4 linked regions of the Arabidopsis thaliana genome follow. The protein of the gene in region 4 interacts with the protein of the main gene of each other region in a pairwise test. Each region holds a gene or a part of one and is shown on either strand. Other genes may lie near its edges. The genes, in order: IAA20, GI, PHV and TOE2.

Region 1 (5,186 bases), on a different chromosome or scaffold from region 4:
TGCATATGTCAAGTTTCCGTTAAACTTTGACGGGTCAGGCTAGAGCCATCCAAGTCCAACTATCCCGGTGACTAGCGTTTATATATATGCTACATAACCAGGCCCGGCCCAAGTGGGTAGTGCCTGGGCCTAAGGCCGGACTGTACATAACTGATCATTAATTTGAGTTCTATTTAACAAACATTCTATTGTTATTCCATGTTTTATTTATGATCCATACTCGTAAAATAATTCACTTATTTATTATATAGTTTATATATATATATATATATATATCAACATCGTATTTAATAGTTCACAAACATACATAATTTGTAGAGGATAAATTTACAAAAAAAATGATAGGGAAAAAAAAACACTCGATTAAGTGTCATAATGTGAGGAACGAGATTACGTCATACAGAATCCACAGGGACAAAATGTCACACTACCAGTGTATTTGCTTTGTAAGAAATTTAAAATCAATTCAAGATTTGGTAAATCTATATACAATTCATGAATTGCGTGCGTAATCTTAACATTTTTAAGGATTTAGAAGAACCAATAATATATAGTATCTATAAAAAGACACGCACGTAACATCTCGACTCAATACCTACACGCACGCATGCAAGTATCTTTTACTTTATGGAGGCTATTGTTTATCTATCTATATAAACGTATTAAGCTTCTGCATCCTAACCATGGAAGACCTCCACTTGATTGCCCTCGGGGGCTACTCTTCCATTCAAATTATATTACATATTTTAACACTTTTTGCTTCCATTAAATTACTTTCTTTAATATTAGCAGTTTACCTTAGAGATGAAAGTAACCAAACTTTATGTAAGGAATACAAATACAACTTTAGATAATATAAAAAAAAATTATTAAAGGATAAAAAAATATTAAAAAAATATCATGCATGCAAATTCTAAATCAAAATTGATTGCAAGAAAAAAAAAATACATATATAGGCACTCCATTCATTTAATCACCAATTACTTTTTGAATAGAAATTCTATGAGTTTTAAATTTTATATACGATATCAACGAAGAAATAATTCGACTTCTTCCAATATCATAAAAGTAACATAAGCAAGTTCAAAATTTAATGCTTCATTAAACCAAAATAAAATAAAAAATGCTTCATGAATATATATATATATATATATATATATTTGAAATTATTTGGTAGGGGAAGTAATGTTTTAAAACTTGTATATTATAACAATGAATACACATGTAATAATGTAAACATACATCCAATCAACAAATGAAAGAAACAATCCGATAATTTCAGTAATGTTAAAGCAAAGGGAGGAAACAAAAGGCTATGATTAGTCCAACAAGAGGGGCTACAGAAAAAGAAAGCCACGAGACATGCAAATGCAATCACGCATCTTAAAAGCAAGCCCAAGTTTTGACTGACAAGCAACCACGACGCAGTAAAGTGGAGTTCTCAAAATTAGCGCATATATAAAGTACTTGAACTATGTGTGTATCTTTCCAATAAAATGCAATTCTATAATGACTGCCAAAATCAGTACTTCATATTATTTTTGAGGAAATATCGTATATGTGTATCTTTTTCTAACAAAAGTTTTTTTATTCAATATAGAAAAAAATGAGTATATTTACAATTTACATATCATAAGATTAAAGTTGCAAAGAAATAAAGAGAAGATGCAAATGAAAATAATGGAAGAAAAGAGGGGACAGAGAGGAGGCGGAGGCAGTAAGAAAATAAGAAAGTGAGGAAATTGTAATTTGTAGTGTTGTTAGGGAACATCTCTCCTTTATCCTTTTTCTCTTGATTTTTTTTTTGTTTCTTCAATATTTCTCTAAAACTCAATTGGTTCCAACTAATTAGTACATTTTTTCCAAACTGAAATATCGAAACCTGAATTAAGCGAGGGAACCAAGCCGGTTTCAACTCTAGTGCGTATATGTCTCTAATTGCTTACATGGTTCAATCCAAACCAAGCTACACTATGCTTGCACGTTGTGTTATTTTGTGAAGGATGAAATTATAATAACGAAGTTTGATGAATTGAAATGAAATTAGTTTCGTCACGAAGCACACATCCATTAAAATTTGATTCTTATATTATATTTTCAATGAAATTATATAATTTTACCATAAGGCACGCATCCATTGTACAATGTACATGTTGTGGTTGAGGGAGTCCACGTGGAAACAAAAATGCCACGTGGGTAATGACAAGAAATATAGTCGTTGGTCGTTGTGTCGTGAGTGTGTGTGTTTCCTTTTTCTCGTGCTTGCAAATATGAGAAATGTGACGTCTCCTTAAGTTCCATAGACAAAGGAACTCTCATTAGGTCCTCTCTTTAAGGTGAACCATTCATTACTCATGCCCCCTCTCTTCCTTCGCTTTTTTTTTTCTTTTCAATTTTCAAATTTTCTCTATTTATTTAGTTATTATTACGTCTAACAACTTCTCTTTCGCAAATATATTACGTATGATTTACATCATTATATAGGCACTTTTTACCGGTTTGGAATAGTCCGTTTTAGACCGATTATGGCAGCGCTGATACAACTTGTTTAGTAGTTGACTAATTTTTTTTTATGTCTAAGCTTCGAATAAACGTAATTGTAAAGAAACAAAAATGAGATTTATCTTCTTTTTACATGAAATAAAATCGGTCTAAGACTTACTTATTGGGGGTTTTGATTATTCAAATCATCTGGTGGAACTAAATCGCATTGTTTTATGGTTAATAATGACTTGGACTTGAATCATCGTAGGCTCAAACATTTGTCATGCTTGCATACATATGATGGGTCCACAACTCCACATCGTAACTTTCGTCATAACTTTTGTTAAACAGAAGTAAAGAACTATACCTAATTAACTTAAGAAAGAAGTGTTAATCCGATTACTAAGCAAGCATTTACCCAAACACTTTCCGAAAATAATTTGTTTGATTAAAGTGTTAATTGTATCGAGGTCATATGAAAACACATTAATTTTGGAAATGTGGGAAGTAATGTAGTTCCACAAACGCCTCAATGCGCGTCACGATAACCTTTCATGCATTGAACACGATTAAGAAGATGTAATTTCTCAATATTAACTTTAATACTACTTCATATCATCAAAACAGCTAAATGTATATATTTATTTTTTGGGGTTAGATATCAAACATTAACTAGCGAGAAACCGAACCCACAAAATCATAACCAACACTTTGATCGAATCATCGTTTGACACGTGTTTTGGTCTGCTACACTAACAACATTTTTAGCGGACGCTGTCTCATCATTCCACCGTCGCTTTTTATTTGTGTGAACTTTGAACAAAAATACGAATTAAGACCATATCAAATTTAAAATAAAATAAAAACAAGTCCTAGTTTTATCTTCTATATAAACACACACGTACAAACCAAGCATGGCGGCTCATTACTCATTTGTCTTAACCTAAAATTATTATAAAAAGGATAGAGAGAGAGAGAGAGAGCTAGAGATATGGGAAGAGGGAGAAGTTCATCGTCTTCTTCAATAGAGAGTAGCAGCAAGAGCAACCCATTCGGTGCTTCGTCAAGTACTCGAAACCTAAGCACGGACCTGAGACTCGGACTCAGCTTCGGGACATCCTCAGGGACTCAATATTTCAACGGTGGCTATGGGTACTCCGTTGCAGCTCCGGCGGTAGAGGATGCGGAATATGTGGCGGCTGTGGAGGAGGAAGAAGAGAATGAGTGTAACAGTGTAGGGAGCTTTTACGTGAAAGTGAACATGGAAGGAGTTCCAATTGGAAGAAAGATCGATCTAATGTCTCTTAATGGCTACCGCGACTTGATCAGAACCCTTGATTTCATGTTCAACGCATCCATTCTCTGTAAGTTTCTATGTATACATAATGTCATATCAGAATGATTTATATGTCTTAGAGGTAGCAAATTTCTAACGATATTTTTTTCTTTCTTATAAGTCCGTTTTGATTTTTTTTTTTTTTTTACGGAATGAAAAAATACTTCCGCTCATTACTATTCTTTTGTTTGAAGGTTAATATCGCCGTAATAATCGCCCATCACTATTTCATAGGTTGTTTGTTTGTTTGTCAAAAAAAAAATCTGGATAACGTTATATGTCAGAGTTATTATTCCGTAGGTAGAGTTTATATATTGCGCAGTGTGTAAGTACTGTGTAATGGGTAAATTGTAAAAATGATGAAAACTGATGGGAATTGAAAAAATGGAAATATATAGGGGCTGAAGAAGAAGACATGTGCAATGAGAAGAGTCACGTGCTAACGTACGCAGATAAGGAAGGTGACTGGATGATGGTTGGAGATGTTCCTTGGGAGTAAGCACTCTTTTCATCCTTTTTTGTATAATTAGATTGTTAATTATGCAGAAAATTAACTATATGATCATCCTTATATATATTTTTAATTTGTGGGTTGATTTTTTGCAGGATGTTCTTGTCTACTGTGAGAAGACTGAAGATTTCAAGAGCTAATTACCACTACTGATATATAAGTCTACGTACTTGTTGTGTTTAAATCGAAGTAATGCCAAGAAAAAAGTTTTTGCCTGATGTAAATCAATGGTCGGATATTTATAATATTATTTTCATTTTTCTTTTGTGATAGATAGTACATAAATCTTGAACTCACTCTGATTATTCTCGGTAGTACACAAAAAAATAGTAAAAAAAGGAAAAAACAATTATCCGATCGACAATCATGTTTCAGTGCATTAAACCAGTCAGACCATTGGTCATTGGATATTTGAATTTATATAATTAGTTGAATGCTTTTATAAATAAAATTATAGGATGTACTTTCTTTTGTTTGTCAAATAGGATGTAGTCCAGTTTCAGAAAATACTAGTAGTCAAGAAAACCAAGCGACAAATTAATGTCGAGAGACAACTTCTAAATTTTCGAAGAATTTTTGGATTTGATTATCGATTTGACCACAATGTACATTTGATATATACAAGGAAGGAGGCAGGGGAAACAACAAATTCCCACCTGATATTTCCTACTTTGTGTTTTGGAAATAAATGGGCCTTCTCCTTTGATTAAGCCCAAGTTCGATCCCATCTATAAATAATGCAACTTAAAACTCACAAAAGTATTCGGCTTACGCAAAATATAGGGTTTCTGTTTATTCCAATCATAGCTTCCGGATCAAGCAAAACAGAGACCGAGACGGAGCAAATCGCTTCTA
Region 2 (9,261 bases), on a different chromosome or scaffold from region 4:
GTAAATCATTACACTACAGATTAGGTTTTGTTGCCGAAAATGAGTGTATACATGATTTAACACAAGAGTTGTGTACTTAGCTTCTTCCATATAGAAAGTTATGATGGGCATCATTATACTATTAACATGGTATCTAAAAACTACAGAGGAGAGTGTCTGTATGTGTTGTTTGTTACCTGATCTTCTTGAGACGCTCAAGATCATCTCTCAACTTCATGTCAAGAGCATTGGAAACAACTTGGGAGTATTTCCCATCCTTGTAATCCTTTTGTCTGTTAAGAAACCAGTCTGGGATCTTGAACTGGCGAGGGTTAGCAACGATTGTCATGAGGTTATCAATCTCAGCAGCACTTAGTTCTCCAGCCCTGAATATACCAGCAAAGGAAAAAACATTTAAAAACACACACTAGACCAAACTTCTTCAAGAATATCAATCTAGAGAAGTTCTATGTGCAAAGAAAACCTAAATATCTGATTTCCTAGAAATCAATCAAACCAGATCGAGCAGGTACAATTCTAGTCAAAGAGCTACATTTTCTACTAACATCCAAAACCTCGCAAGATTCATAATCCTTATCCATAGAATTCCTAAGTAACTGAAAGTATTAAGAACCAAGCTAAGAAACAAACCTCTTGTTCATGTCAACATCAGCCTTCTTGCACACAATGTTAGCCAATCGCCTTCCAATACCCTTGATTGAGGTCAAAGCAAACATAATTTTTTGCTTCCCATCGACATTAGTATTGAGCACACGCAGAATATGCTGAAACTCCTCGTTCGCAACTAGAGACTACACACACACGAATACGAAAAAAAAAAAACAGATCCGTCAGTCGCAAATCGTGTAAGGGAATACAAAAAACATTTGAGCTTAAAACTCCAATCCCAAAACCAGCAATGAAAAACGAGCGATACGCAAAATGAAGCACGAGCAATTGGAGAACCAGACAAGAGTTGAAGAACGATAATCGTACCATTTTTGGATGCCGAGAAAGATCGCGAGAGGAGGATTAAGCTCTTTTACCAGACTCTGGAGGCGCCACCACAGCTTAAGCTCAGGTCTGTTATAAGCGGCATATTTAGGGTTTTCCAACCTAATATGAAGCTCCTGTAGTTAATTACTAATTTACCCTTTAATGTTTTTTTTGGAGGAAAAAGATTAAAATACTATAAATTATCTTTTGCAATATTAATTTTTGCTGTTTTAAGAGTATTCGGAAATAAGTAAATTTGTAAATTTTTCACTTCTATACATTACGATTTAGAATCCACTGAAGACTAAACACCAGACGCACAAAAAAAAAGATTGAGCTACTTCGTCATTTAAAATGTACAGAGAAGAGGTTGAGTTATATAAGACACCGAGCGAGAGCAAATCCAACGCCGGTGGGAGTGATTGCGTCAGTCACTCATCATTACAACATTACATACAACAAACTATATATATATTCTTCTTGGTCTACGTCCAAATGTTTTGTCTAGAGAACTAAAATTTACCAAAAACAAAAGTGGGTGCTCGTTATTGGGACAAGGATATAGTACAGCCGAGTTCCCGAGCCGCAGTGTCGAGAAACTGAGTAGGCATAGTTGTGGAGAGCAAGCTGTGAGCTTCCCAGTTTAAACAGTTTTGGATATCGGCTTTCCAGTCTATTGAGGCGGCGTTGAAGAATCGATAGGACGGACTATTCATTCCGTTCTTCTCTGTTGTTGGCAGTTTTGGAGTTACTTTGATGGGTATGGAGCTTTGGTTCATGATATCACGTAGTACTGACGTGCTTAAGGCACGTACGTGTGCACTTGGGTGTGAAAGGCACCGTATTGTTGCTGGTAGACGACACTGCATAGAAGCAAAAAGATGTGAACAAGGTTAAGCACTTTGGTAACTGGACCTACTACTGATCATCTACAATCGACGCAGGAAACCATAGGCTCTGTTCGATTCTGCTTTTACCTTCAATAGATTGGATAAACCGTCGACCACTGCTAGTCCAGATGGCCCCCAAGCTAGCACCGGCTGTATTGCTCTTGCCGTGGCTTCAAGTAGCTGCAAAAGTTTAAAATACAGTGGAATCAGAAAATGATTATTACTCTAGCCCGAAGAAGGGCATTGAAGAGCAATCTATAACAGTGCAGTACCTCAAGTTGAGGTAATGTACAAGCTTCTCCATCAACAAGCATTCCATCAGTTGCCCGCAGAAGAAGATCTGATGCACTTGCGAGAATCACCAGTGACTCAGGCCTGTCATGATTGCGCATGAGTTCCACCAACACTTTGACTATCCGTTGGTTGATTTTCCACATTTTTTGGCCTTCTTCATCATCTTTGGCGATCCAAGGCTGCAACTCCCTTTCAGCCTGTAAATAACACAAGACCATTTCAGACAATAGAGCATTAGAGTAAATCCTTCAACATATGAGCTTGAAACAAGCCATTATTTTACACAGATTTTTTCTTCCTTATTTCCTATCCTTGGCATATTAAAACAAGTGTTGCATATAAATTCCAAGCTTAATTTTTATAAATTCATGAGAGATCAAATGAGTGAACCAAGCATTATAAAACATTAACACAGGCCATAGGTTTTCCGCAGTTTAATCTTTACACAGGTGTTGCATTCCTGACAAATGAAATAAAAAGTCAAAGAGTAATTTGGACCTGAAGGACAACTGCTGCTGCTGCTTTCGCTGGCGTTGCAGATACGACATTGCATAGCGCATCAACAACCTGATATATAAAAAATATGATCAGTGTATGAAGTCGAGCGACTTAATTGGATTAGTAAAGAACTACCAAGGAAACTGTAAGCGAGCTGGGAAATAGAAGTGCTGAGGTTTACCTGTCTCCATCCTTGTTGCGCAGAGGTGCTTTCTGCGGTGGGCTGGATTTCAGGAGCAGCAATCAGTTTGTGCCATAACAGTGAAACAACGGAGAAAGACAGCTCCGGTTTCTCTGCAAGCACTGACCTCAAAAGCTTTTGTGTACCACAATAGAACCCTGCGAGTCTATCAGCTGTGAGGAAATTCGCAAGATCAGAAGCATCCAAGAGGAAATCTTTGATACCCTTCTCTGAGGGTCTCCCTGAGCCTTCATCTGAATGTCTAGCATACTTATGGTTTCCTCTTGGATTCATTTCAGTCCTTGAGGCGGATGTCACCGCTGTATCAAAGCATGTGGTGCTTGCACATGTGTTCTCTTGTTTCCAGTTTAAACAGGTCACAGAATCCTTCTGAACCGGTGTATTCTTAAGGTAGGCTTCCAAGGGTTCAGCTTTGTCAACAATGGAGGCAACAACTTTGCTGTGAACATCTATGAGGTTATATAATGATGATGCTCTTTTATGAATTTCCTTATCCCACTTACATCTCATCAACCCAGACAATGCATGCGTCAAGGCCTTTGAACGTCTGAACAGTTCGGAAATATGAGCTGCAACCATGGCCGCAGCAACTATCTCACTAGAACTGTAACTCCATGGAGTCCCCACAGAAGATGGTTTTAATGAAAAGAGTGCCTCTAGGATTGCCAAAATTCGGCGCGTATGACTAATTGCCGAGTCAATCCCAGCTCCATACTCTTTAGATGACCCATTTATCTTTACAGGCTTTGTAATAGTTCCAGCCACGGCAGAATTGGAAAAGTTCCCCCCACCAGAGATCATAGGATACAGCTGAACCTCACAGGCAAGAGCACAAACAGCAGCAAGAACGTATGAATCAAATGCTGCCACAGGTCCCTGTCCCTTGACATTCCTACTTTTACGGTTAGCAGTTTGATTGTTAGATACAGGTTGATTCGCCTCAATATTTTCAGTAGTACTAGCATATTCACTTCTCGGTCTCTTGCTACCACTAGACTGTGCTTCATGGCTAACACATACAGTCAACACAACAAAAAGTAGGCGTGAAGCTAATTCCACACCAGCGCATGATTCTAAAAAGAGAGCATGGACCATAGCACGAAGCTCAGACATAGCAAGATTTTTGGTCGCTGATCTTGTGGTAAAACTCGATCTAGCTTTTCTGGTTAGTTCCCTGGAAGATTCAGGCGGAAAAGTTCTACTGAGTATTGTTTCCACAGTGGCAACAAATATTTTCATCAAGCATGCTTCCGAAGGACTCCCCCGTGGAAGATATTCAAGTACTTTGAGGAGTGGAATGTATAAATTCCATGACAAGATAGGAGGTTGCAGTGGGGTAGCAACTATGATTTCGGGAAGATCAACCGCCGAAGAATTTAAAGGGATCAAACCATAAGCAGCTTCCCATATAGTGCAAATTCTCCACTCAACTTCAGGACCATGAGCACAAAGCATTGAGGCAATTCCTTGGGCAGTGGCTTCAATGGTTGCTTCTGCTGCAGGAACTTCTATCTGTTGAGATGAAATGAGTCAGTTTCAATATAATTTTCTAGTAGAATGCCAATCGCATATCAGAGATGGAATAGCAGAAAAATATAAAGAGGAACCATGCCTGTTTTCTGTAATTTGAACTGTAGCCACCAATAGGCGCGTGCTGAATTTCTACTCCCTCAACTTGACTTAGCGGAGGAAAAAGCAGTGCCGGCTGTGAGAGTATGCGGAAAAGCAAAGCGGCTGCAGCATCAGCAGCAACACCTGCCCTCATAGACATAGCAATTCCTATAGCCCGCAAGAAGTGCAAATGCATCCAGTTCCTGGGTAGCTGCACCAAGAAAAAGAATGTGATCAAAGCTGATTTCTTTGATGACATACCAAAGCTGACTTTTTTTATAACAAGGGACACAATTAGCTTTCTGGAGGGTAATTAAGAGATTCATATTACGCTTACCCTTACACCAGATGCATAATCTTCAGCAGCTCGAAGGAGTTCCACAAGCTGTACAGCAGCATCAAGTGCATCTGGAGCCCACGACGGTGGTGCTTCTAAGAGTCCAAGAAGAAGTCTCTGCGTAGCACTTGGAGTTGCAATGGCATAGTATCTGACAGTATAACAGGAAAGTGAGAAAACAATTCTGATCTAGGGATTCGAGGAAGCACAACCTTAAAACTAGCAACAGACTACTACCAATAAACCCTAATTGAAAGGGTAAGCCCAGAAACAATACCTATGAAACAAACGTGCATATGGTTCAAGAGCTGGAAGGCCAGCAACTAGATGCTCATCTAAGGATGTCGTTGGCGGAGGAAGAAGAAGTGCAGGGACAGCGACCGCTGTCAGCGTAGCAGTCTCATATCGAGCAACTTCATCATCACAAACACTCAGTATGACACCAGCTCCATTAGCAACAGCCCATCTTGGGGTTGAAGGCATCAGTTGAGGATGTTTACCAGATCCTCGAGAAGCTGCCAAAGTAGGACAACATGAAAGTTATAGGAAGCAACTCAAAACACATTCTATAGCCACAGGTGATGGATACACATTTATGAACGAAGTGATAGAACAACTCTATTGATCAGAATTATCATCAAAATCCAGTTCCAGGGGATATTAACATGGAATTCTTGAACTCACCAATGGTTGGCGGCTTGAGCTCTCCAGCAGCATATTTACCCATTACACCACTACACCTGTAAATAATAAGCAACATTTTTAGTTGTCAGTAAGCTTAATCCACTACAGAACCTCAATACATAGACCTCAGCAGAGAGACCAAAATAAAAGAAGGAGGCCGGCGCATGAACACATAGAAGCATCAGTAACAGAGTCTACTTACCATCGGAAATAGTCACTTCTTATACCAAGAGGAGCAGCAAGTAGTATATCACTGATCCATGGAGACAAAGGCCTTAAAGGTTTCCTTTCATGCTGTGTTGGTGATCCAGCCTTAGGCTCTGAAGTCGGAGAACCACTAGTTGTAGCTTTGCTCAGACAATTTCTCTCTGTATCTCCATTTTGCTGCTCAGTTTTATAAATGGGACGGTTGTAATGAGTCAAAATGCGAAGGATTTCTCCACATGCCAAAGCCCATTGCTCCGAATAGTCATTCTGTTAGGATAGTGAACATGTTAGCACAAAATGGTATAGGTTACACCAAATCAGTAAGCATGATACTAGACAGCTATTATATACCTCACTACTTGGGCAAACTAAAGATATGAAAGAGGCAAACGGATGAGCTTCCTTGCTGTACACCAACGAGCCATCAATAAGACATGAAATGATTGGAAGAATGACTGCATGACCATGCTCCGGATGATGAAGGACAAACATCGCTGTTTCATCAGAAAACGAAAATCAGATAGACATTCACACACAAAAAGAGAAGTGTGGATCATAAATGTTGATCATACCCAGCACATCGTCTAAAAGTCGCTTCTCAGTTGATGGATACTGATGCCGGACCAACTGATACAGATAAATTATACATGAATCAAAACGTCACTACTAAGAGAATACTCTTATTAAACTCATTAGGTATCAAGTACCTCAGCAATGTCATCTGGGAATTGCTCTGATGTAAATTGACCAAAATATTCAACATAAGCAACGACTTGATCCTTATGTTGTTGAGGATCTCGTGGCGGAGGCCATAACAAGGAAGAGAACTGAAGACCATCGATCCATCTCTCAGATGAAGATGAACTAGCCATCCAGGAACCGAAACTAAACCCCAACTAGATGAACGAACAATCTAACTAACACCTTTCTTCTACTATCAATCGAGAATCAATACGACGTAGTGTTAACATTCGCCAGCAAGAACAATCACTATACACATCTCCCAGATTCTTTTAAATCCTTTTTATACTAATCAACACACTGTACACTAAATCGAAGCTGAATCAAACAGCTAAACCCTGTAACAACAATTCAGAAGAACAAAATCTCAATCAGATAAGATGTCAAATCAAACAACAAATCTAAGCTGAGAAAACAAAAAATGCTAGTAGAAACAGTGATTTACCAAGAACTTATTTAAAAAAAAAAGACATCAAATGATTCGGGAAAAAATCTCATCTGAGAATCAATCAACCAAAAACCACGAAAAAGGTAGTAGAAGAAAGACCTGAAAGTAAATATGTCTTCCTATGAGTTTGTTGGTTGGTTATCTCTACTCTTGCTTTTTTTTGGCTTTGAGGATATTTTTGAGAGATCGACGAATATCGGAGAAAAAAAGAATACATACACAGAAGAAGAGATTGTGGTGGCCTTAGGAGAGAGAGAGAGAAAAAAGAGATTTGGAGGCTTCTCCACTCGGTTTAAGATTTCCCGTCTGCTTACGTGTCATCGATATTTCCTTGCCTTTGCCACCACCTTTATGCGCCATTACCATATAACCATCATCATCCCACATACATCTCCACCCATACCATGGTTAAAAAATTTACCATATTTTTGTTACATTTTTTAAGCATATATATATGAAATTTTATTTTAAAAAATTTTACTGGTAGTTTATGTTAGTGTTGTTTTGGAATCACAATGCGAATTCAAATTCGTATATTGTATGTTACAATCACCAAGAAAAATGTTTGCCAATTTAAGTAATTAATTTTAATCCTAATAAATAAATTTTGTAAACTCAGATTTACTCCAAAATTCTGTCTATTTTTAACCATGAGCTAAGTTTAAAATCTACTTAAACATATAATTATATCAATAATATTTGGCTGTTTTAAAATAAACCATTACATTCACAGTATGGCATATATTGGTAAAGAATTTGTACAAGTAATCAGAGAGATTATTTTATTTCAAGGTTTGGTGGTCATGATTGTATTATTGAGTTATTAATTTAAGTATATAACATCTCTCATGTGATTGCCTAATTAATTAATAGTTTCATTACACAAAAAAAAAGCTAGTGACATATGTCCACAGATATTTTGAGGGGAGCTAAGTTCAGATGCTACGAGATGTTACGTACACCTTCGAATTATCCACCGTTGATTCAAGCCCACTCAACAAATTCCTTTAAGAGATTTCGGGCAGCTAGCCCAGAATAGTTTCGAGCCGTTCGATGGTTGTAGATAAACGGGCAGCTTTTGAGGAACAGCCCGTTGAGAAAATATCTAAATGGGCCTCACACATCTTTTAAGATATTTTAAAATCTTACCACTTGTCTCTACTGTACCACATAAACAAGTAGCACAATAAAATGATGACGTGTACCAATCAGAGTGGAGCAAGAGATCTGTGGACGTTGATCACTCGCCAAATAAGAGACGTGGCGCAATAAGATGTGAGCAATATATTGTAATGATCTCCATACGATTCGTGATTGTGTGGTCCACTTCTGTCTGGATGGCTCTTGTCTGAAGAATACTCCATGGTAACATAACTGGGCTTTGGTCATGTACCATGTGATGTGATGGGCTCAAACCTTACGTGGAGTTATGTAACTGGGCTAAATTGTAATTTTAATTTTTCAGTAATTGCTTGTAATACAAATATATTTTTTGATATCAAATTGTAATTTTGAGGAGAACTTACTATTATTAATGAAGATGATAAAATGTTACATTAATGTATCATTCTAATCATAGTAAATATATTAAGAATTACCTCAATTTTTTGGTTTATGATTTACCAATTAGGGAAAACATTAATTTTAATAAAAGCTACTTTGCCTACCTCTTTTTTTTTTGTTAATATATCATTTTAATAACAAGCTTTTATTAAAGTAATATTATGGTGGAGAAATTTTTATAAAATTCTAAAACTTTTTGAAAAGGCGTATTCTCAAATTGTAGGCATTTCAGTTGATATATTATAAGTTTAAGTTATAGTCCAACGAATTATTTCTTTTGTGGTTTAGCAAACGAGATGTTCATCATTACCCATTTCATTGTCAACAAAACCTTTAGAAAATGATATTAGTTATCTTCAAGTATGACTATTATAAATTTATACAGTACAATATACTTTTTTCACAGAAGGACCGTGACATCAATCAATTTAGTATAAGAAAAATCAAATGGAAAAAAAAAAAAAAAAATCAAATGAACATCTTTGCAACGCGAAACTAAGCTCAACACTTGATTTATTCATTATGTTATACTTTAAATTTAAAAATCTTTAATGATATCTTCTTCTTTTTTTGCTAAATTCAAAAAATCTTTAATGATATATAAATTTAGTAAATATTACTGATTAGAGATATGCTGGTTTAGTTTTCATCCGATCATAGTTAGATGTGGTATTTACATAATATAATCCATAAACTAACATAATTCCCTTTTTATCTCAACTCAAAATATATGTAAAGGTGTATATTCAAAAAAGTTTGTCAAGTATTACGAACAAACAAATCAGTTACAATATTCAAATATTTGTCAAGT
Region 3 (8,806 bases), on a different chromosome or scaffold from region 4:
AGATCTGTCCCAAACAGAATCACTTCTGTCTTTTCACCGTTCTTTTTTTTCACAACACAAAATTCAACTTGTATGTTTTTTTTTTTTTTGCATGAGCCCCCACATTCACATTCATCACGCAGCGGTCAAATCACCCGCCCCACATTTTCATTTATTGATCTGTTTTTCATTATCGTTTTCTAGTTAATTATTCATTCATTAGGTTAAGTAGTTAGTACTAGTGTAGTAGCTAGTTCTGGTTTTCAATAGTTTTTACGGTTTGATTATGGTTGGTGTGTATCATTCATCCGTAAATGGTAAAACCTCGATCGATTTACATAACTCATGTAGACAGCGGATTAAAATAGCTGTCCTTAGACTTAAAAAATTCTGTTATTGGTTATATAAAAATATTCCACCATTTTCTTTAAATTATGCTGAAAAATGATAAAAAGAGATTGTACATAAATAAAACTTCCATATTTTTGGTCGGTATAAAACTTCCATAAGAGTTTTGTAGGTTTCTGTCCAAAAGAAAAGCTATTTATCAACTTCCATTACTAACTAGACTACCCAAAAGAAAAGTTTATAGGTTCCTCCAGCCTAGAAGTCAAAGAACAGCATCATCATGACTAGTTTTCTTGTGATAGATACTATTTCAATTTAATAGATAAATACTAGTAATGATTATTGATCATTTAATGTCAAAGATTCATTCAAATCTAATCTTTTGGATGATTATTATTTATGCATACAACCTAAACTCCGCATACATTTTTCATGTTACATATGAGCTACCAAGTCCATTAAACGTTTTTTGCCAAAAACTATGATGATTAATTTAGTTTATTCGACATGCTTTTGAGGCCAATCTTTGTGTTTATATTTGTACATTAACACATGATAAAAACTTATAAGATTACTAATAATAATTCATCTTATATCTATCTATATATATATATATATATATATATATATATATATATATATATCAAATTTCGTAAAAGGAAGATGAAGAAAAACGAAACAAGTCCAAAACATAAATAAAAATAAATATCTTGCCATACATAATGTCATAATTGATTAAAGAGATTATCATCAGAATTTTTCCATATTACATATAGAGTTATGGACTCTCTAATTCAACAAACCTTAGCCAAAAACAACATCCCCTAACTTTTAATATCTAACATAACCAACCTTTTCCTTCATCAAACAAACGACCAACTAACGAGGGTAAAAGCCAAGCAGTGGTTTGATTCGTTGTCATCAACAACTTTCCACACCGTCGCTTGCTCATACGAAACCGGTCTGCCCATGCTCGACACACATATTCCTGCCGGAAGATTCGCATATCCCTGAAGAAGATTCAATCCAAACTTAGTATTTTCCAGGGAAAGACTTAAAAGACTAGCTAGAAAATGTTTAACCTGCTGCATGATCTTGGCGAACTCGGAGCAAAGAGCTCTACGACCAGAGTCATCAAGTGTTTTGTCGAGCATTATATCCTGAAGTGCCACAAGTGTAGTTTCAAGCATGTCTAAACCAGCTTGGTTTGCAAATGTGAATACCGGTGAGGCCTGAGAACCAAAAAATAATCAGACAATTCCCAAACCGAACCATAAACTAGATTGAGCACCTCTTAAAAAAACAGAATTCTTACATTAGTTTTCAGGGAGCAGCACAATATGGCATCACTATGGTCCCAGAGTTGCTTAAGCAATGTGTCTCCTCCACAGGACTGAGAATCAGCTCCAAACAGATCTGCACCTGTATGAATACTAAAACATCGGAGAAAAACATTTTATTGAGTTATTAAATGAGATAAGCACATTCTATATTGTTACAAGTCTTTAGATTAAGGTTCTAAGAAGAGTACCTGTAACTACGGGTGATCCAACGGACAAGAGTGAGAGCTTCAGGGGAAGTGGGAAGTTGCATTGAGCCAGGACGAGGCGTAATGGCTAGAGCCACTCTCTGAATCGAACCAACAACGTTCCTCACATACTGTCTCGCCATTGTAGCAACATTGTCTCTGGAATGGTTATCAAACGTGAACTGGAAGGCTATTGTTAAGACCAATCTAGAGTTTGTTTCCGAATCGGTTTTGGTGGAACCATCTAGGGACGATGCTAGATCCCGTGTTCGACTTGCAGATTGATGATCATTCTGTAACGTTACATACAGGAATAAAAGAAAAAGGACTGTGTCAATTTCAAGATATCAAATTTCTTATCATAAACAGTTTTCTTTTTACCGGATTTGTTTTTTGGTCGAGTGGTATGACACGGAAACCAGAAGGAAGCAAAGGTGCATCATCAGCAAATGATTCATCGATTGGGGCAAAGACAAGCTGAGCACAACCTCCAACCACATTTTCATCAACGCCGCTACAAAGCTGGACAAAAGCAAAAAAGAAACCAAGAATTCAATTTCAATAACTCATCTTTAAGAATCCCTGAGTGTCTTTAGTATAAAGCAAACCTGCAGTAAATACATATCCCGGGATAAGCCCATGTCTTCAGGTGAGTAAGCATGACCTCCAAGTCTAACCACTTCGAGAAACTGAGAAACAAGTAAGCAAAATAGGATTATAGGCATGGCAAAAGAATAGACAACAAGGAAAATGTTCTTGAGATTCTTTGTACCTCTTCATGTTCGAGTGTCTGTGCGAGAGGAAGAATGACTTGGTTACTCGGGAACCCACCGGTTCTGACGCATGGAACAGCATATGGAGTTGCTCTGAGAGATGCAGCAGAATAGGCATCGACACCATAGTCTGCCCATTCAGCTCGGTGTTCTCTCAGGAACCGAATCAATACAAGGGGTGGAACATTCTTCAAGAGCAGATAAAAAAGAGAATGATGTCAGAAATTGAAGAAACCGGTTCTTTTGTCTATTCACAAGTGTCAAAACATGATATAGGCACCTGCAACAGCATAGAAGCTTTGGCACAGAGGACACCACTTCCAAAACTTGGAAGAAATGAGCTACCGTATTGGGAGCCAGCAAATTTAGCAGAGGAAGAGTTAATCATGATCGTAATATCCTCTCCTCCATCACTACTCATTGGAGACCATCCATCATCGACAAAACCATTTACAGCATCATTGAAACCCCTGAATTTCAAGAAAAGCAATTAGAACAATGCTTTAGAAAATAAAACTAAGCTTATCAAGGAAATGTATTACCGGCAGAGTCTCTGGCTGAAAGTCCTTAAAACTGCAGGCTGGCGTCCACCACTATACTGGACTTCTCCACTAGTCTCTTGAGCAATTTGGCGCACATGTCTCAGAGCCTGAAATGTGGAAGTAAAACTCATAAAGAGAGCCTAATCAGGTCACGGGTGGATAAGGTTTATATGGAACTTACAGCGACAGTCATTTTTTGAGCAAGGATTTTGGAAGACTCATAAAGAGGCCTGAGGACTTCAGGAACACTTGAGACCTACCAAACCAAAAAAACGTATCAATCAACATAAATAGAAGGCTTTTACGAAACCTAATGTGCTATTACAAATCCAATATGCTTACATCCAAGTCCACATGATCAACGATGTGAATAATGGAACCACCACCATCACAAGGACGGATAAGAAACCCGCTTGACAGCATTTTGGCTCTCACGAAGCTTGAAGAAAGTGGACCATTGGGGCCACCAGTTGCAGAAGTGAGTGATCTCTCACAGACCTGAAGGCAAAAAAGCAAATATAAGGCAAATCTAATAAATAGAATCATAGATGAACAAAACCAGGTCCTAATACCCACCACATAGCTTCCATCTTCTAGACTTGTACTATATCTCAGCGTCCAAAAGTCACGAGCTGCTGCTAATGTTGTAGGAGCATAAATCTGATAACCAACCATGAATAATGATCATTACATTTTAAAGGAACAAAAACAACACTCATGGATTTATGAAACAGACCTGAGTGTTGACAAGCTCGATAGTACCACCATTTCCAGTGGGTATAACATTCAGAGTCTCGACACATCGACAGTCACGGAACCAAGATGGACGATCTTTGAGGATTTCAGCGACCTACACAGTATTTGAAGTTTAGATTGCCTTCGTAGAATTTCCGCTTCTTACAACACAAGATTAAAATAAAAAGAAAACACCATTACCTTCATGGGTTCTAAACTCACGAGGCCACAGGCACGTGCTGCTATTCCACTGCAGTTGCGTGAAACAGCTACGATACCAATAGAATCCGGACCAGGCTACATACATAACCATGAAAATACATATTAAAACATTTTCTAAAAACCACTTCATTTCCACATATGAAAACGTTAAAATACTTCAACTTATCTACCTTCATCCCAATCATCTGGACCCAGTCGACAGCAGTTCCTGTAGCCTTGCAAAGGAACTCCGCCAAGGTCTCCTCCGCAATCGAGAGAAGACTACCAAAAAAACACTCCATTTAGTCTCTTCTCATAATGTCACAATGAGAAATTCACAAACAAAAAAAGAGCCTTCCTTACTTAGCTGGGTTGTTAACATCACGCTGAGGATGCTGATGTGTTGGGTTTTGCTGCTGACGTTGCTGACCACTCACGACCACAGACTCACAGCTGTTGTCTGTGGTCGTCCCAGAAGCCTAAGACACAACACAGAGATTTCACCAGTCACTCTCTAACAACAGAGAACTCTTAAAGAACAAATACATATACAAGCATCAAAGATAACAACTCAACAATGCATTTAGCAAAAGGGATTCAAGGACTTACAGTGTGGATTCGATGTTTCATGAATCCATTCTCATAAACCAAGTTGGAGACTTGCTTCTGCAAACGATCATTCTCTTCCATCAAAAGCTTGTTCATAGCACTCAGCTTCCTGTTCACTGTCTGAAGACGAGCTGACTCTTTCCTCTGCTTCTCTCGACATCTAAAAAGTCAACAAAACAACCAAAAGAAACCAGAAAAGTTAAAGACAAACCTATAGCAGTATGATAAATGTGTTGAAATAATAGAAAAATGAACAGAAGAAACACACACTTTTTTGCTTTAGAATGATACCAGAATGACATAAAGAACAAAAGATAATGTAATTTCCAACATATTCTCTGCAGAAGGAAAAAAAGAGAGAGGCGTTTTAAAGCTCATCAAAGACAGTTTGATTAGCTGTCACTTTTCCTTGTGATTTTAACTTTCAACTGTGTCAACAAAAGCCTAATAAGCAAAAAGAGAAAAACAAATTTATAGACATAGATCTGAAAGTTTCAAAAGCTTAACAATCACCAATTAGACCAAAAACAAGAAGATTACCAAAAACATTGTCAGACAAGAACATTTTTGTCTCCAAATACAAACAAAAGAAATTCAATTTTATAATTACAGAAACAATCAAAGAACACAAAAAACATTCCATTAAAGACAATTAATAAAGAAATAATAACCTGCGATTCTGGAACCAAACTTTGATCTGTCGAGGCTCGATGTTACAGAGAATGGGACATTCACGAATAAGCTGTTGTCTTCTCAGAGAGCTAGGTTTAGGACACTCAGCATAAACTCTCTCAAGAGCTTCAACTTGTTCCGGCGTGTATCTAACGTACTTGCCGGAATCAAATCCTTTATCAGGAGAGTCTCTATCGTCCATGGAGTGATGAGCCATCATATCTTCCAAACAGGTCAGTAGAAATCAGAGAGAGAGAGAGGGTTTACAAAAAGAAGAATAAAGATCGATACTTTGAGAGAAGTAAAAGAGACTCAGATGAAGAAATATTAGATGGGTAGGCTCTCTGAGAAGAGAGAGCCTCCTGTGAGAGTGTTCATGAGATGGTAATGGTTGGAGAAAAGAGTTTTTTGGGTTTTTTTCATTTGCTCTCTCTCTCAAAGGAGATTGAAAGATGGAAAGAGGTAAAAGGAGCAAAAGCGAGGCAGCTAAGTAGAGAGAAGAGAGAGAAGAGAGAGAAGAGAGAGGAAAATACTGAAAAAGTAAAAGTAAAGATCTTTCTGAGAGAGAAAGGACAAGGAACAACCCAACAAGATGCACTAAACTGGTAAATATTGTTTTCAAAAAAAATTAAAGGTGAAATTTTTGGGAGAGTAGGTTGAATTCAATGTTTTTGGTTAAAAGCTTTTTACTGTTAAGGCAAAGTAAAAATATTTAAACTTTTTCTTATACAAAGCTAAGCTTGAATTTTAATTCAAAGCTTAAATTCTAAAAGTTAAAATGATTAACTAGGATAAAAGTTTATGTCTTTGATAACTCATTATCAAAGCGGTAGAGTTTGTACAACTTTGACAGTTATCATTTATAAAATCTTTATCAAAAACGTTATAAAAAGTTTTATTCTCAATTTTATTATACAACTTTCTCGTACAACTCTTTTTTATAGTTTGCAACTATTCCGAAAAATTTTACAATTCATCTAAATTACCAGTTGGACCCATATATATTCTTTGGTTGCCACCATATAAATATTATTAGTTAAATAGATAATTATAATATTGATTGAATTAGATTAACAATTCATTTTAAAAGTTTCGTAATATTTGATGCATAGTTATAAGTAAATAATTACTTGTTTTATTATTTTTTCTTACAACTCTTTTAAATAGGTTTAATATGAGATGGAATCTTGATTACACTTCTCTAATTCATATCATTACCACCTAATTTTCTTTGTGTAAACATGTTTCTGTATTCAATATTCTTGGATTAGATTAAAAGGACAAGTAGATGTTGACAATTAAAAAGGATTGAAAGTGATTAGTTTTGAAAAACTTAAATGCATTCAGATTTCAGACTAAGGCTAAACACAAACAGATGAGAAAACCAACACGCAAAGTTGTTGTCTCTGCAAATTTTAAGACATATCAATTATTATCAGAATCCCTAGTCCTAATGGCAATCGATAAGAATAAATATGTTTATCTATTGGTAACAAAAATAAATCATGCTACAACTATTTATATTCGTAAAACGTAAGTGTTGTTGTCAGAAGAAACGGAATTTTGACAAAATGGGGTAATTTGCTAACTTAGGGAAAGAAAGCACTTCTCTTTAAGCTCTGTGACAGTGGCCTACCCAAACATAGCATCAAATTTTCCCTACCCTCTTTGCTCTCTAGTCCTAAGACGTTGTATGTATGTATGTATGTGCATGTACATATTTTCATGATGATGGTGTTGTTGTATGCCTATCTTTTGTATCCATGTGGAAGAGACGATGCATGACAAGTATGTACAATGTCACTATGCGCGTGAGATGCGTGAAATCTGTTGTTTTTTTTGGTTAACCTTAATTGGTTTTATTTCCTTTAACTTGTTTTGAAAGTTTTGAATATAAATTAGGGAATTTAATGAAAAAAACCCTTAACTTTGGCCAGATCCATTTTAAACCCTAAACTATGTTTTTAGTAAAACAAACCCTGAACTAAAACCTGTTAATAAACTTAACTCCACAGTAATTAATTATTAATGGGATATTAATTTCTAAAAAAAAAAACAACGAGACATTTGTATTTAGCGCAAAAACCACATGATGTTCTTTAAAACTATTTTGAATTTATTACAAAAAAACGTTCTAAATGATTTTGAATTGCTTAATTAGTTTGGATTTTAGAAGCTGAAAGAAAGACACAACAACTTAAAATAATCCAAAGAGTCATACTTAAATAAATCCAACCAACATAACTATCGAAGCTGTTGCAACACAACAATATTTGTCACAAAAAAAACAATCGTTTCAGAGGGACAAGATATTCTAAAGTAAAGACTTGTCAAGCATTAACTTTGAAGAGAAGATTGTATTGGCTGAGTGATAGGGTTCTCTTCATCCATTGTTTTCTGTTTTTTCCTTGGTCGTCTTTGAGGTTTCTTGGGTGGTTTTGGCACTGCTTTACGCTTGCATGAACGTTTGTTGTGTCCGACTTGTTGATAGTTGCTACAAGTCTAAATATGCAAAGATTAAATTAAATAATTTGAAAAGGAAGATCTTGTGAAACATAATTCATTGTTTTCTATTTTACCATTTGAACTTTTTCACGTGTATAAAGAACTTTTTGAGGTGGACGATCTTCAGTTGGATCACGGATTCTGTCATTGTTCTTTGGTCGATTTTTGGAAATTAATATCCCATTAATATTTAATTACTGTGGGGTTAAGTTTATTAACAGGTTTTAGTTCAGGGTTTGTTTTACTAAAAATATAGTTCAGGGTTTAAAAATGGATCTGGCCAAAGTTGAGGGTTTTTTTTATTAAATTCCCTATAAATTATGAGAAAACAAAGACAGGTCTGCCTTTGCTGGGGGTACAACCTGTATTTTTGGTTGGTTACGATTTTTCAATTGGTTTGTATCCATTTGTCCAAACATTGTTTCTTTTCTATTCTTTTTTGGTTTTCTTATAACTTTCTATGATTTTTGGACAGAAATAAATATATAAATTAATATATTTATTTCTTATGTGAAGTATATATATACGCAAAATACAAGATTGATCATCACCTACTATGAAGGATTTCGATCTAACGGCACTTTTTACCTAGATAGCTAATTTGATATTTGAAGTAGAGAACAATGGAGAGATTCTCATCGAAATACCATACAAGTAGAAGCTCTTAATTATGAGGATCATGTTGCACATTCAAGTAATATTTCTCTGCACAATTGTCTGTAAATAGGAGAGCTATTTCGTAGAAAACCGAGTAAACTAAATCCAAAAAAATTCTGCCCTCCAAATAGATTTCCAACGATAAATACAAAATGGAGGCAGAAGCAACACATGTGGATGTACTTCGCTCCTCAAACGTCTCTGGTTTCGTCAGAAGGTTTGGTCTGATACCTCAACTCGATCCTACAAATAATAAG
Region 4 (8,009 bases):
CTGTAGATTTCTATTTGGTTGAAACTTTTAGATTGTATAATGCAGGTACTACCCATTTCTTTCACCAGATTTTTACCAAAGTCTTTGCCTGAAACTGTAACTGTTAGAAGCATTTCTGGAAATATTTGGAAATTGGAGTTAAAGAAATGTTGTGGTGATGATGATACTGAGAAATTCGTTATGGTTAATGGGTGGAAGAGGATTGTGAAGGACGAAGATCTCAAGGGAGGAGATTTCTTAGAGTTTGAGTTTGATGGCTCTAGTTGTTTCCATTTCTGTATCTATGAGCATAGGACAATGTGTAAAAAGATAAGAAGAAGTTCAGATCAAAGCGAGGAGATCAAAGTGGAATCTGATAGTGATGAACAAAATCAGGCCAGTGATGATGTTTTATCTCTTGATGAGGATGATGACGATTCTGATTATAATTGTGGTGAAGACAATGATAGTGATGATTATGCTGATGAAGCTGCTGTCGAGAAAGATGATAATGATGCTGATGATGAAGATGTTGATAATGTTGCTGATGATGTTCCTGTTGAAGATGATGATTATGTTGAGGCTTTTGATTCTAGAGATCATGCTAAGGCTGATGATGATGATGAAGATGAAAGACAGTATCTGGATGATCGTGAGAACCCATCTTTTACTCTGATCCTTAATCCGAAGAAGAAAAGCCAACTGGTAAGTAAAAACTGAATGTGAAAGAGCTTTTCATTTAACATCGTTGGGTTGTGAGTTTTTATGATGTTTTTTTTCATAAAGCAGCTCATCCCAGCTCGGGTTATCAAAGACTATGACTTGCACTTCCCTGAGAGTATCACTCTTGTCGATCCACTTGTGAAAAAATTCGGGACATTGGAGAAGCAGATCAAGATTCAGACAAATGGTAGTGTGTTTGTCAAGGGATTTGGCAGTATCATCAGAAGGAATAAAGTGAAGACAACGGATAAGATGATATTTGAGATCAAGAAGACTGGTGATAATAACCTGGTTCAAACAATCAAGATTCACATTATCAGTGGATGATTATTTATATCTCTCTCTCTCTCTCTCTCTCTCCATCTCTCTGTCTTTAGTTACGTGTTTTGGAGTTAAATCAAGATTATTGTGGTGTATTGAATTAATGTAAGAGTTTTTAATTTCTAAAACTTATCAGATCTATACAAATTTATAGTCTCTCAAGTCTCAATAGCTTTCTTCATTCATACATATAGAATGCATTGTACTTTACGCTGTTCATATTAATATCAGAGACATTATAGTAAAATGGCAAATGGGTTTGGGTTCTGTTTTGGTATTATCCCTCAGTTTATGTTACAAATCAAAAGCAGAAAGATAAATCACACAATGACAATAAGTACAACAGATCTTGGGAGAATTCAGCGTCGTTTTGGCTGGCCTTCCAACTTATTCCAACCTCAGGGCTGTGTAGAACCTGCACGTTCACATACAAAGTATGTTATTACGTGTAGTATTGTAGGATCTTAGGAAAACTATTGCCTCAAATATGTGTTTGAGATTGACAGAGAAGCAGAAAACAGGAGGGTGATAATACTACACAACTTGGAACTCTTCCTTAGTCTTCTTCTATTCGCTAAGCATTCATCATACTTTTCATGTTTCCATCAAGATTCATATGAATACAAACATCTCAAACTCTTTTTCTTTAGTGGTCTTCTATCAAAATTTTTTTTTTTTTTCTTTTGGATTGTAAACGTAACGTATAACAGGAAGAGGAAACTACAGCTTGTGTGCTGAGCCAAACGATGAGTTGAATGTTGTTGTTTCCAAGAAAGTCTTACCTTGAGTTATGCGGAGGAAGGAGGAAGCTATGGTGGTGGTTGTGGGCGGTTCATGAGATTGTGTTGGTGCTGAGATATGTAATCAGATGGGTGGATAACATAGAGACCGGGCTGATTCAGATTGACGAAGGGCTGAGAAGGATGATGAATAGCTGTGGATGAAGGAGGGCGTGTAGCTGAGAGTGAGAATCCTGATGATGCTGCATTTGAAAACAGTGGCGGTGCTGTAGCTGCTACGGCGGTCCCACCACTGGACTGATCATGCCCTTGCCATGTCCTGGCTGGGAAGCTTTGATGAGAACGTAACATAAGCCCTTTCTCTGGTGTTCTTTCCTGGAGACAAGAATTTAACTTTTAGGACAGAAGATTATTCATTCAAATCTTCAAGAATATCACAACATAGAAGAAGAACTAACAAGCAACAACATAGACCTGTTCTCAAAGGATATCAAAGAGTTGAGCTCAAGTACTTAACTGATCAAATATCACAACAGTAACCACTTGATGAACATCTAGCTGAATTTCATATCACACAAATTACTCATAGGTAGGGTAAAGTTCGATAAATTTAAAATTGTCATTCTATTTCATATTGTATGTTAGTTCTGGACAGAAGGTAAAAATTGTGAGGCAGTGACAAACAGTTGGATATAACGAGATGTGTGCTATGGTATTTACTATTTACCATGGGTGAAAAGAACGCAGAAGGAAGGGCATGCCGGTTATTAAGATGGTCTGAACCCCTCTTCAAGAAATTGAAAGGCGTATCACATGCCGCTGCAGCCATGTGGTTCTCCATCTGTGAGTATATCAAATGAAGAGCAAGAAATTCATGAATAAATGAAAAAACATGAGGGCTCGAGCTAGCAAAGGAGACAGTATCTTTGAGTTCCAGATTGCTATGACATATCGACAAAGAAACATTTGACTAACAGTTGCAGCAAAACGCATATGAAAGTAAAGTAAATCATATTTGGTGCACTGAAGAAAAAATTGCACCATGGTGTTCCTTCCACATACGGAATTGTTAGGGACATGGTGAAGCCGGAGGGCCCTATCTTTTTGCTTCGGACCATCTCCTAGTGAAAGAGAGATTCCCAAGTTGAGGTCGAGCTTAACATTAGCTAAATAATAAGATCAGGAAAACAAGTTAGTCGTAGCTTTTCAAATATTGAGCAGAGATATCAATGATGACAGCAAAAGCTGCATAGCATCGACCAGTTTAACAAGCAAGGAACATCAATTACATTACCTGCCTCGGGAATCATTCGGGATGCATGAGGCTCAATTAAGGAAGCAGCTTCCCTTCCCTTCCATTGTACGGCTGCCTTGTCACAACCCCTAATTCCATAAGAATCTGAGCAATTAGTCATGAATTTTCCTAATAGATCAATAATTCAGGATAAAAGACTTCCTCATAATGTAATTTACAACCATCACTAGCGTACAGCTCATACTCAGATGACAATCATCCCAAGATAGATATAAATGTCTCATAGCCATCAAAATCTCTATATATAACTCATAATCACAAACGGGTCTTCCTGCTAATGGTTCTAACAGAAGCCCTTTTCAACTAACGAAAAATTACCAAACTCTTCATCTGAACCACTCCACTCTTTTTAGCAATGACTGACAACCACATTCAGACAAAAACACAAATAACATAGCATTTGTAAAAGCCCATACTTAGATCCCAGGAAAAGTTAATTACATGTTTCCATGAAGCTGCTCCATTTGAGCTCCCCACCCGCCAATCTTTTGCAAAGCAACTCCTTGATATCTAGAATTATTCCTTGAGAAACCAGAGCTCTGTCGCCGAAGTACTTGCACAACTTCCTCTTTGGAAAGATTCGCCATCTGTAAAGTTTGAAAACCAGATAAGAACAAATCAAAGCGTACATGTCTTCATTTGTACATCTGTAATCAAAACCTGCTTGAGATCCTCTTCATAATCGCCAATAACGAAATTGATGTCAGCTTCCAGACCCCGGAATTTGACAGCAGCTCGATCATACGCCCTACACCAACGAAAGTTGAACTTAGGAAACAATTGTATCATAACGAAAAAACAGTTGAGTGATCAATAAGATCAAACAAAAAAATATCATTTCCAAAGGCATTACCTAGCTGCAGCATGGGCAGTATCAAATCCACCTATTGAATTCAAAAGTTAAAGCTTTTATTAGAGAACTAAGATCCCAGCAGAAATCAGTTCACAGTAGTACAGCCATTAGAATCCATACCTAAATAAACTTGTTTACCGCAATCCCTGCAACCATGAAAATTGACAAAAAAGAAACTTGTAGATTAATACAAAATCTAAACCAAGCTCTTCCATTTTCGACCAAAGATCAACAACTCATCTAAGACCTATCTAAAAGATAAATCAATCAGTAGTAGATATACCAGATATGCGATTCCCATCTGCCTGTCCTCCGATAGAAAGTGACGCCTCTATACTGAGAACTCTTAGACCTAGGACCTCTCCTGCTTTTCTTCACCGGCTGTGATGGTGGCTGCATCACCCGTGAAGCATCGCCACCACCGCTCCCGCTACCTATAAAGTCTCCACCTTGTTTCCCCCTCTGGAAGGAAATATCAACGGTGCTCCTTGAACTTTGAGCGCTCGAATCCATAAAGTTCATGCCTTTAGCAACAGGAAAAAACTCCTTAGTCATCATCACAGCACTTCTTTCATCATCATCTTCTTCTTCTTCTTCTCCTCCTCCTTTCAGTATCTCAAATTGAAACTTGACCGTTCGTGTAGAGCACAACTCATCTTCACCATCTATACAGCTAGAAGCTTCAGCATTAACAACAGAAGAGTTCGACGTCACCGATTCATCCATCTGATTCAAAGAAACCCCTTTAACAGTAATCGAATCTCGTTCGTTCTGAGTAGACTCGGTCGAGTCGACGTCGAGATTGAGATCCAGCATCAATCTCAAAAAAGTCAACAAAAAAGCAAACAAAACTCTGAGCTTTCACAACAACAACAAAAACTATTTCTTCAAGCTCTTACTTACACATTGATCAATAAATTCAACGATCGCCGTCGATTTGAAATAAACAGAGCTCATAAATCACATTACATAGGTGAAAATCAGCACGAGTATGGAGAAATCAAACGGAGATTTAGATTCTGAAATCAATCAAAAACACGACGGAGGAGGAGAAGGAATAATAACCAAAGAGAAAGAAGGAAAAAGCTCAATCACTAAGGAGAGAAATGAGATTGAGGAGACATGGAGATGAAGAGTTGAGTATTGGTCTATGGGGATTTGAAGAGACAAAATAGCTATCGCCGGACGAAAGAGATAATCGTCGGCGATTAGAGAAAATAAAAAGAGAACGGGGAATGATGATGGGACGTAAGCCTGTGGGTTAGTGGCAACAAAGGAACATTTTAACATTTATTTATTCCTTCCATCTTTCTCGGCAATTTGATACCGGTTTTGCCTGTTTCCGGTTTGAAGTAAAAACGTGCTACTTGTTTTTGTTTTATTAGCTTGGTTTAAATTTATGATTAGTGCTTTTACAGTTTTACTATGATAAATTTACGGTTTAAACTGTATGTGTTAAGCTTTTCTGTGATTTCTTTACCAAGATAAGTTATTAAATACAGTATTAGTACTAAATAGATCTGTTAAGGCCTAGGGACAATGAGGTGCATTTTGTTCATGGAATGAGGATTTAATGGATGTGTTCATCTTGGTTAAATCAATTTGAAGCGTGTTCTTCGAAACATTTTGTAAACACATCTGAAAATCATCAAATTTAATTGGGGTTTCACTTTTTATCCTTGAACAAACTCAACTAAAGTGATTTAGTAATTCAAATTTATAGAATGAATCAAACGAAATTCGTTTTTGTATCCTATATAGTATATCTTATTATTAATCTGCAAACAAAGATTGGTAAAGAAAAGCGAATCTACACTATTATATTCACAACTTTGAAGACACATAAAAACCAAAAAACACTTTGAAGTCACATATTCATAGCTTTGAAGACAAAGCATTTGTTTTCATTTAATGGCGGGTCCTATATTTGCAGCTACGTCCTCCTCACAAACAAAAATCTGTAAAGACTTAAAAGAGTGAGATAGAATAATATGACTTTTTATTGATTTATATGGATAACAAGTATCCAACCAACGTAACAAATGTGTCACATGTAAAAAAAAATGTGTCACATGTTAGAAAAAGGTGTAGAAGCTAGCTATAATCAACAATTACATGCATAAAGTAACAAAAGTTATATCATTTTAAGAAGTTGTTATTATTACAAAAACGAATGTGTATGGAAAATAGTTAAAGATGATGGGGAAAAAAATCACTAACATCAGGTTTGATAGCTTTAGTTTTTCTTACTGGACATAGTGATGAAATTTTGTTTTAATTTCTAAGGTTTTGACACATTAATTACTATTGAAATTGAATGATGTATGTTATCTTCGCCTTGTTTGTAGCCAAGTTTTAGTAAGGCCTTGAATGAGTGTGGTTTTTAAACTAGTTTTTGGTTTTAATTTTTTCTAAAATCTATTTTGTAGCCATTCAAGATTTTGAGAAAACAAGTTTTCCTAAAATATAGGAAATCTAGTTTTTGAGTGTTTTAACAATTTTTCAAAGAAAACCAAAATCTATGTTTTGGGAGTTTCTCTCTCAAAAACAATCGATCACATTTTTTATTTTATTTTTAGATTTGTTTTGTAAAAAAAATACTATCCATTAACATAAAAACCAAAATCTAAACAAATTACCATTCAAGTTTTTTAAGAAACTAAAATCTACACCAAAAACAAAAACCAAGAAAATCAAAAACTAAAAACCAAAAACCAAAATCCAAAATCCAAAAACCATTTTAAAAACTACAAACATTCATGGCCTAAATAAAAATGAAGCATGTGTTTCCTAGTTCCTACAATATCACATTGTAAAAATCTATCAAGGCTAGAGAAAATTATCTCTGCATCAACTGTGTCTCAATTTTCTTTTAGATTTTCATTGAATGAATAGCTATAAGTAGAAAAAAAACACATATCCGATCAAACGTTGATAACACAAACATATTGTATCAAATCTTATGGTATCTTGTATTCATTAGTATTGTCTAAATCTCTAAGACTACTACATAGCTTGAGAGCAATGTGATACAAAGAGATCAACAAAGAAATGGATAGGTTTCCAAAATGGATAATTTCGAAAGTCTAAAACAAAATATATTTTGAGTACAAGAAGACATAGGAAAGAACAAAAGCCAATAAAGGGGGATTCTTTTACAATCAAAGGAAATTATTGTTTATTAAAAATAGAAATAAAATGTACGTAACAACGTATTATGTTCTTAACACAGGTTACGGGCGAAAAAATGAAAATGACCTAAAAATATCTATTCTTTGTGTCCATACGAATCTCTTTTTTCTTTGGAAATGTTTATTGAGTGGGGTAGGTCAAATGAACATTCCGACTGGTTTTAGCCGGTTGCCAAAACTTAAGAGTGTCAGAAAAATCTCGAAGATCATGGATTTTAACGAGTAGTATAAAGCCACGTGTACAACAGAGATTGAACCCCAGCCATTCAACTACTCTCTCAGCCATCTTAGGTCACATATCTGATCGGACGGCCCATGTCCATTCTTACTTTCCTTAAATTTAGGGAATTTAACAGTTTCACAATTTATCTAGTTTTTTTTTTTCATTTTCATGCCCACATTCCTTTCTTTCAATCTCTTTATCAAGATTTTACCAAGTACAACCTTAATTTTACTTTTGCCTAAATGTCAAAGTGAAAATTAGGTTGTTAGAGTTACATACTTGCACATTAAAGCGTCTATACGGAACGATATTGATACATTAAAGAAGAAAAAAAACAGAGTCTTTATCTAGAATTTAAAATGTCACTGTTTTATATTATTTACCTTTTTTTGTTGTCATTTTCGTAATAAATATTATCAATCATTTCTTTGTGAAATCATAATATATTAATCATATAAGGCAGACGAGGTTGAATTTAAAGACGTGGACGCCTGCTGTCCTATCCTTGCAATGATAATTTTCATATATATATATTTTTTTGGCAAAGTCTTGATACTAATTTATTACAATTTGGCTAAATTTACCGTGGCAAGACATGAGATAGATCATATATTATTCATTTTGCTGAGAACGCAACAAATTCATTTTCACCAATCTATGCATT

The links.
Region 1: the proteins of TOE2 (region 4) and IAA20 interact in binary tests that used the Arabidopsis thaliana proteins (3 or more experiments, as listed by UniProt).
Region 2: the proteins of TOE2 (region 4) and GI interact in binary tests that used the Arabidopsis thaliana proteins (3 or more experiments, as listed by UniProt).
Region 3: the proteins of TOE2 (region 4) and PHV interact in binary tests that used the Arabidopsis thaliana proteins (3 or more experiments, as listed by UniProt).

The regions. Positions count from the first base shown.
Region 1 is NC_003071.7:19,304,386-19,309,571, forward strand, and holds IAA20 (indole-3-acetic acid inducible 20), read left to right. Parts: upstream 1-3,328; 5' UTR 3,329-3,475; coding exon 3,476-3,848; intron 3,849-4,218; coding exon 4,219-4,315; coding exon of another isoform or gene 4,316-4,319; exon of another isoform or gene 4,320-4,426; coding exon 4,427-4,484; 3' UTR 4,485-4,686; downstream 4,687-5,186. Other genes in the region: AT2G46995 (uncharacterized protein), read right to left, coding at 5,083-5,186.
Region 2 is NC_003070.9:8,059,707-8,068,967, reverse strand, and holds GI (gigantea protein (GI)), read right to left. Parts: upstream 7,218-9,261; 5' UTR 6,987-7,217; intron 6,778-6,986; 5' UTR 6,571-6,777; coding exon 6,406-6,570; intron 6,326-6,405; coding exon 6,271-6,325; intron 6,193-6,270; coding exon 6,050-6,192; intron 5,966-6,049; coding exon 5,694-5,965; intron 5,548-5,693; coding exon 5,492-5,547; intron 5,323-5,491; coding exon 5,085-5,322; intron 4,959-5,084; coding exon 4,808-4,958; intron 4,682-4,807; coding exon 4,472-4,681; intron 4,372-4,471; coding exon 2,839-4,371; intron 2,727-2,838; coding exon 2,658-2,726; intron 2,357-2,657; coding exon 2,138-2,356; intron 2,046-2,137; coding exon 1,953-2,045; intron 1,839-1,952; coding exon 1,521-1,838; 3' UTR 1,178-1,520; downstream 1-1,177. Other genes in the region: PFL (Ribosomal protein S13/S18 family), read right to left, coding at 177-365, 631-791, 976-978. UniProt on the Arabidopsis thaliana protein: Involved in regulation of circadian rhythm and photoperiodic flowering. May play a role in maintenance of circadian amplitude and period length. Is involved in phytochrome B signaling. Stabilizes ADO3 and the circadian photoreceptor ADO1/ZTL.
Region 3 is NC_003070.9:10,795,138-10,803,943, forward strand, and holds PHV (Homeobox-leucine zipper family protein / lipid-binding START domain-containing protein), read right to left. Parts: upstream 5,957-8,806; 5' UTR 5,608-5,956; coding exon 5,387-5,607; intron 4,876-5,386; coding exon 4,716-4,875; intron 4,586-4,715; coding exon 4,470-4,585; intron 4,389-4,469; coding exon 4,298-4,388; intron 4,203-4,297; coding exon 4,107-4,202; intron 4,021-4,106; coding exon 3,907-4,020; intron 3,831-3,906; coding exon 3,747-3,830; intron 3,669-3,746; coding exon 3,513-3,668; intron 3,427-3,512; coding exon 3,352-3,426; intron 3,278-3,351; coding exon 3,171-3,277; intron 3,099-3,170; coding exon 2,909-3,098; intron 2,817-2,908; coding exon 2,628-2,816; intron 2,545-2,627; coding exon 2,464-2,544; intron 2,378-2,463; coding exon 2,237-2,377; intron 2,149-2,236; coding exon 1,859-2,148; intron 1,761-1,858; coding exon 1,643-1,760; intron 1,560-1,642; coding exon 1,410-1,559; intron 1,338-1,409; coding exon 1,191-1,337; 3' UTR 987-1,190; downstream 1-986. UniProt on the Arabidopsis thaliana protein: Probable transcription factor involved in the determination of adaxial-abaxial polarity in ovule primordium. Specifies adaxial leaf fates. Binds to the DNA sequence 5'-GTAAT[GC]ATTAC-3'.
Region 4 is NC_003076.8:24,204,891-24,212,899, reverse strand, and holds TOE2 (target of early activation tagged (EAT) 2), read right to left. Parts: upstream 5,212-8,009; 5' UTR 4,748-5,211; coding exon 4,215-4,747; intron 4,078-4,214; coding exon 4,052-4,077; intron 3,963-4,051; coding exon 3,932-3,962; intron 3,827-3,931; coding exon 3,739-3,826; intron 3,666-3,738; coding exon 3,520-3,665; intron 3,147-3,519; coding exon 3,058-3,146; intron 2,930-3,057; coding exon 2,739-2,929; coding exon of another isoform or gene 2,616-2,738; exon of another isoform or gene 2,605-2,615; coding exon 2,491-2,604; intron 2,322-2,490; exon of another isoform or gene 2,139-2,321; coding exon 1,833-2,138; 3' UTR 1,806-1,832; exon of another isoform or gene 1,439-1,805; 3' UTR 1,157-1,438; downstream 1-1,156. Other genes in the region: AT5G60130 (AP2/B3-like transcriptional factor family protein), read left to right, coding at 46-684, 769-1,029.